Coturnix japonica: one gene and its partner. Each later gene encodes a partner of the first gene's protein in a complex. Links are inferred from orthologs where the notes say so. Each region holds a gene or a part of one and is shown on either strand. Other genes may lie near its edges. The genes, in order: NCF2 and RAC2.

Region 1 (3,721 bases):
AAAAAGTCCAAAAAGTGAAGTTTCCACCCAATGCTAATATTGACTCAGCCCCCCCCTCCCCTACCCCCCTTTCCCCACCCCTATCCCAGCCCCCTCAGTTTGTGTATTGAGCTGTGCACCCCGGCAGCTGCGACATTCCAGTGTTTGAACTGCCGCTGACTCTTGCACCCTCAGCGAGCTGACCCAGGTTCACCACCTCACTCCTGGCAGTGCCAGGTCCCAGCGCACCGCTCCACTTGTGCATGAGAACCCGGTGTCAGGAACACGGCCGGCTCTGGGCTGGGACCCCCATCCTGCCCTCCGGTGCCTGGGGGAGCGAGGGAAGGGACCCCAACAGAAACTGGTTTGTGTCGTAAGCTTTTTTTGTGTTATTTGTCTGTCTGTGCAAGAACTGCAGCTGCTGAAATCAGCTTTGCCTTTAATTAAACCATGTTCTCTTCATCCAGGTCTGTGTGGTTACGTTTATTTCCCCCCATGTAACTGAGCTGCGGGCTTTGAAAAACACATTATTACATTATTTTTCTGGAGAAAATTGAAAGAAGGTTTAAAGTTTTATTTTATTTTCCAATTTGAAAGAAAATGAAATAAATTGCAAAGATGTTTTATTTTCCTGCTTTTGCACTTTTAGGTCTGTTTTCAGATGCAGTAATTAACATGGGAACTTCTTATTTGCAGCACTTGAATTCTTAATTTCTTTCAGTCTCCTTAAACTCTTCTGAAATCACATTTCTGGGTCTTTAGTGTTACCATCTCGAACAAAAGCAGAGGGGAAGATGCCGATCTTTCCATTGCATTGCCCTTCCAACCAGTCTTCGTTCACTGCAAGATAAAATTGATGCCATTTTTGTCACCCTAGGGATGTGCAGGAGCACCATTACCCTCTTGTGCTGCAGGCAGGCCTCAGATCAGAACGTTAAGATCATCTGCAGGAAAATAGCAATGTAACATTACAAAACCATGACAATAGCCTCCCCTCTCCCACAGTGGCAGGAGCACCATTACCTTTGGATAAAACAAGTATCACATCTCCTGCCTGAAACTCCAGGTCTTCGGGTTGGGTGGCCTCATAACTGTACTGTGCTACCACTTGGCTTGGTCCTGTCTCTGCTGTTGCCTTCTGTGGCTCCTCTGGTTTGCTGTCAGGTAAAAATCCCTCTCCCTAGGGCAGGAAAGAAGCTGGTGAAGTCACCATGCGGCTTCTGCTTTGTTCCAGATCATGGCAGATAAGCTCTGCTTAGGCTTCATCCTCTGCCATTGAGCCCCTTGCCGGCACCAGTAGAAGAGCTGGTGGCTGGTGCTGCCACCCACCTCTGTGCAGTCACACCACACTGTCAGGCACTGATCCTTGCTGTGGCTCCAAGCTGCCTCCAGGTTCTGCATGCTCAGAGTCACCAGCTCTTTGCTGACTGCAGACTTGTACCTGGGCACCAGAGGACACAGGTAAGGGGAGAGCCACGAAAACTTGACTCCTGCAGCAGACAGTTCTCACCTCAGCATTGTGTGCTCAGGTTGCAGCTCCAGCTTGTCACAAATGAGGCCCAGGAGCTCCTTGTAGGACAGGTCTGGTTTGACTTGCATGGCAACCGTGTATTTGTAATGCACCTTGACAATATAGGGCTTGGGGACAGCCGGTTCGGTTTCCTGCAGGTGGTGAATTGGGGCATCAGGCTTCTCTCCCAAGCTGTATGTGATGTGGATCTGGGCTCTACCTTTTCACTGCAGCACAAGGTCTTACCTTATTGGCTTCTCTCTGCTGCGCTGATGTAACAGGAATGAAATCTGAGGAGGAAGGAAAAGATGGGTCAACAAGTGGAGCACAGTGTAAGCTTTACTGCTGTGGGCATAAATGTGATTCCAGATCCTCTCAGCCCTTCTCTTCAACACCTGCTGTTATCTGTAGCACCACCCAGCCCTGGAGCCGGCTGTGGTTGCCCAAACAGATCAGTATCAGCTACAGTGAGGTTCTTCTGTGGGGTTCCTCAGTAACCACAAAGAGGCCAGGGCTCTGCCTTGCCTGCTGTTGTTTCAGGTGGTCACTGTGCTCACAATGTAGGGCCTGTTCAGTGTTTGTAGGGATTGGAGCTTTAGGTGCGATGCTGTTCCTCTGTGGGCTTTGATGTTACTGATGCATTTGCAAGCACAAAAAGCACAAACAACAATGTATCTTGCCCTCTGTCATATAGTTGCTTCTGGCCCCAGCCCTACCCCAGGTGCTGAGAAGCACCAGCAGCACATCTTCCCAGCGCAGTCGTAGCTCCCAGCTGCCCTGCTGTATGGAGAAGCCTGTAATGCATGTTGTGCTCTGGGACTTATGCAAGCTGGGTCACTTGCCCTGTTGTTTTCCCCAGGCCCTTTTTCCCATTAGCTGCTGCCCTAATTAAGAGCAAAAAGGGGACCTCGAGCTTTGTTGTTGTTCCATCCTCGGTGCTGCAGCTGCAGCATTGCCTCCTGATTTAAACCCACGCTATAAAAGAGGCAGAGATGGCCCCCAGCCCTGGTTCTCCATATCACAGTACACAAGAGACTGTCCCTGCAGTTCCCCCATCCCTCCCCTCCATACACTGACCTGGTGCTGGCCGCCGGGGCCTTGGAGCGGTGCTGCTGGGTGGCTCAGGGATGTCGGGCTCGGGAGGGGCCTCCTCCTGTGCCAGTGTGAAAAGGACAGTGCAGGCAGTCAGCATCCCTAAGGGGAGCAGGCACAGCCCAGGGGTGCTGCTGCCTTGGGGACCCCGTCCTGCTACTCAAGGCAGGAGTCCTGGGGCTAAGCTTTGCCTGCTGTCCATTGATTTGGGGTGGAACAGGGCAGTAGCCATGAGATAGCCATGAGCCAGGAGTCCCACAGCATTGTAAGAGAGATTTGCAGGCATGGATCCTGCTGGGTGATCTATGTGGTTTCCTGGGGCCACCAGCTCCTCCTGGGCTCCTTACCTGGACGTGCAGCTTGTGCTGGAGCTCCATGGGCTCAAGGAAGTTGCAGGGGACGATCCCTTTCTGCAGGGAAGAGACAAAGGGAACAGATGGTGTTAGTCGACCGTCCAGGAGATTGAAGGAATGATTTCTGTATGGCACCCCAAGATGGGCAGCAAGGGTGAACCAGCTCACTTTATTGCCTTGAGCACATGTGGTCAGGCAAACAAAGCAGCACATCTGGCCCCTGCCTGGTAGGAGCAACAGGAGCAGGACACCAGGAGGTTGCCTCTACCAGCTCATAGCCCCTCAAATAGGGGATGCAAGGAAACTGGGTTCAGAAACTCCTTCCAGGCCTCTGTAAATCTCCCTTTTGTGCCAGGCAGACCCCCTACCTTCCCATTGAACATCACCGTAGCCCAGTTGTCCTTCTCTTTCTTCAGGACAAAGACGATGTTTCCTGGCAGGACCTGCAGCTCCTCAGCAGTTTCAGGGATGAACTCATACAGGACACGGTGTGGCTGCCCTTCAAGAGCCCTGGGAATGGAAGCCAGCATCATGTCAGGAGCAGGGGGTGATGCTACTGTTCTACCTCATAGGGGGGCCTAAACTCTGCTCCTTTGTTTCTCTCCTCCTTTCCCCCCACTGGTTCTGAACACTCAGCTGGATGGTGCAGGACACGGCTGCACCAGGCTGCACATGTTTGCAATGCTGCCAATGTTTCATCCAACCTACCTGAGGATTTCTGGTGTCTTGGGCCTGGGTGGAGGCCCAGAGGCCTGTGAAGAAGACAGAAAGAAATCTGTCATAATCT
Region 2 (3,154 bases), on another chromosome or scaffold:
CTGTGGCTTTCACAGGAAAATACTGGCCCAGATAGAAGTAGCAGAGTAAAAGGGGAGCAGACTATGTGAGTGCTTATTTATGTGTGTGTTTATGATATGCTAATTTATGTGTGTGTTTATGATATGCTAATTTATGTGTGTGTTTATGATGGCATCTAGAGAGAGGCAGAAGACAGAGGCTTGAGTTGTTTATGTTCCCTCAAGGAGCACAACTCCTTCCTGAGCCTCCTGAAGTGGGTTTTGCCCCATGACCCCTGTTCTTCAGATATACTTCTAAGGAAGCCTCATAAGGTTGAGTGGAAGCCCTTATCTTCTGCCTCTCTTTTTTCAGTGATGCCTGCAAGTACCTACCGATTTCCTTGGCCAAGGCAAGACCCTGAGGATATGTAATAGGAGTCAGCTTCTTCTCCTTCAGCTTCTCAATGGTGTCTTTGTCATCACGAAGATCCAGCTTTGTGCCCACTAAAATGATGGGAGTGCTGGGGCAATGGTGCCGCACCTCGGGGAACCACTAAGGAGGGAGCAAAATTGCAGAGACAAGAGAGAACATGCATGGGTGAAATAAAGGGGCACCCTTAAAAAACGTTAACAGGACACTTTGTTCTTCCATGATGCCCTTCTGTTGAGTGTTGGGCACTACAGCCTGGCTCAGACTAGCCCCTTTTCCTGGGTCTAAAAACATGGAACTCAAAGCACAGGTTGAATTCCTCAGGAACTCAGACAACAGTGCAGGGGAATAGTGAGAAGTGAAAGGAGAGACAGTGCTAAATACAATCTACTAAGGAAAGCATAAGCAATTCTCCGTCCCTCACAGCTTTCTGAAACCCAGGGAGGAACCTGGGAGTTGTAGGAAGGAAACACTACATTTTTCTCCAACTCTCCTTCCTTCCTCACTTCCTATACAAAGGATGTGGACACCAGCTCTTCATATCCTATGGACAGTACTGGATGAAAGGTGCCATCAGAACGTAAGCCTGTGGTCTCACACAGAGTAGCCCATCAAGGAGAATAATAACTCTTCAGTGGGGTTGGCCACCTTCTTTGAGGTGACCCAGAAAAGCAGGCTGACATCCAATTTCTTCTAACATATGCAGAAAACAATATTACCCCTCTAGCTCTGGACATCCCCTTAGTAGTCTCCATCCACAGTCAACTCTTTGCAAGACCAACACCAAACTCACTCTCCTCACCCACTATTGGACAAAGATGCTCTGTCTCACCTTAGCACGGACGTTTTCATAAGATGCTGGGCTGACAAGGGAGAAGCAGATCAGGAAGACATCCTGTAGGCATGCAACCATGGTACATAGTTAGAATGAATATACGGGAGGCAGGGAGGGGTGAGCAGAACTGGGTGGGCACCAAAATGGGTCATGCTGGGGAAAGCTGTCTCTCACCATCTGACACTGTTCAGACTGCTGTTGATTGCCTCTAGGGGAGGGAAGAATATTTAGTCTCCTGACTCATGGTAACCATAGCCACCACTATCAGAAGAGACAAGCGTTTAGCTATGAGGATAGGGTTTTTGTGGTAAGCATATTCATTCGTATGGGAAACAGTCTGATAGTGTCCAGTTCATTTCTCAAAGAATACCATATAGTTGTCATTGCCTGCTGTTGAGACAAAATGACATTCAACCCCAAAAGTGTACATGTAGGAGGCAAAAGAGGCAGAGTATGGATAAGCACTTCTGGGCATGGCAGAATTTAGGCTTCAATTGAAAATAAAAAAAAGCCAAAGCAGCTTATCAGAGTTATATTTATTTCATCCAAATTCAGCTATCTCAATCAGGAGTGCCAGGCCCATTCTGCCCTCTGCCACTGTACTACAGCCACCAGAGACAAGCACCTCAGAAGAGTGTTACCCACCTAGACTTGGCACATGTCCTACGCTAGCTACCAGTATGCTGTTGAGAAATAGGCGTGCTTGCACTGTCTGCAGAAGGAGTTCAGGCAGGCAGCATACATAAAGTATCTAACTCTCATGCAGCTAAACATAGCGGGAACAAACAGTGCCTCAATTCCAGCCCTTTTGGTTGCAATGGCAACCTTCAAACCAATGCTTGAGGCAGCAGATTCTTTCGGTGCTTTCCAAGAGACTTCTAAGAAAAATACCCTCCAGGGAAGGTGGGGAGGATCACCCATTTGTTCTGCTAGAATACTGGACTTAGCTGAGGCATCAGCAGATCAAATACATGTTTATAAATCTTGACTCTTTTAAAGGTCAGAAGCCAGAATAGGAGTTTACAGGAATGTGGAAAGCTCCTGCCTCTGCTCCTAAATTCCTTCATCCACTTTAACTTCTTAAGAAGGGCTTCTGTTTCTCAGGGTTGTATAAAGCAGCTATCCCACATTAAAACCAGCGTCAGCTGGACTCATAAGTGTCTTTGAGGATCCCAGTTTCCTTGCTTCTCAGTAATGAAGTGTAGATGAGGGCTTCAAAACACCCTTTGATATCTTTAACCTTTAGGATTTCCAGGTATTGTATATCAACATAGGGATTCTCAGAAGAGGGCAAAGAAAGAAGGGAACAATCCTATCATTGCTGTCTGGCAAAAGTTGATTTTGCAGCAGGGAAAGGAAATACATCTGAAGGAGAACCAGAGTAGGAGCGTGGAGTATGACCCACCGTCTGTGGGTAAGAGAGTGGCCTCAGCCTGTCGTAATCCTCTTGTCCAGCAGTATCCCAAAGCCCCAGATTTACAGGCTTGCTGTCAACCATCACATTGGCAGAATAGTTATCAAACCTGAAATGCAGAGACATATTCTGAGGCTCAAAAAGTAGAAGAGGGATGAGGCAAAATTTTTTACTCTGCACATCTCATGACAAGAGGCAGATTCTTTTCTGTTGTTTCTGGTGTATTTTTTCATGTTTCATAAGGGAAACCAGTGACAGGAAGGAAGCAATGAAAAGACTTTTTGAACTTGCTCATGACACACGCTGCCATTGTGAGATAAGCCTTACTGCAAGGAGCACAAAATGGCCTCCTTTCATCATCTCCAACCACAAGTCTCAGGCATGAGGAGAAATGTTGTGCAGTCCACAAACACATGGCCATTTCACAGCCACTCCCAAGGAGGTGAGTAGATGGAGTAGACTCCATCTGCTACTTGTAAACTTGGCAGGCATGTAGACCCTTGGGTTAATTAATGTT

What was found.
Region 2: NCF2 (region 1) and RAC2 share a complex: the UniProt entries of both Homo sapiens proteins name them as parts of the phagocyte NADPH oxidase complex. The link is inferred for Coturnix japonica from reciprocal best matches to the Homo sapiens genes NCF2 and RAC2.

What each region holds. Positions count from the first base shown.
Region 1 is NC_029523.1:4,321,238-4,324,958, reverse strand, and holds the end of NCF2 (neutrophil cytosol factor 2), read right to left. Parts: intron 3,687-3,721; coding exon 3,643-3,686; intron 3,445-3,642; coding exon 3,303-3,444; intron 2,992-3,302; coding exon 2,929-2,991; intron 2,643-2,928; coding exon 2,567-2,642; intron 1,780-2,566; coding exon 1,736-1,779; intron 1,642-1,735; coding exon 1,490-1,641; intron 1,421-1,489; coding exon 1,309-1,420; intron 1,160-1,308; coding exon 1,003-1,159; intron 924-1,002; coding exon of another isoform or gene 901-923; exon of another isoform or gene 820-900; coding exon 722-819; 3' UTR 539-721; downstream 1-538. UniProt on the Homo sapiens protein: Subunit of the phagocyte NADPH oxidase complex that mediates the transfer of electrons from cytosolic NADPH to O2 to produce the superoxide anion (O2(-)).
Region 2 is NC_029516.1:46,924,475-46,927,628, reverse strand, and holds part of RAC2 (ras-related C3 botulinum toxin substrate 2), read right to left. Parts: intron 2,747-3,154; coding exon 2,629-2,746; intron 1,284-2,628; coding exon 1,221-1,283; intron 512-1,220; coding exon 352-511; coding exon of another isoform or gene 348-351; intron 1-347. UniProt on the Homo sapiens protein: Plasma membrane-associated small GTPase which cycles between an active GTP-bound and inactive GDP-bound state.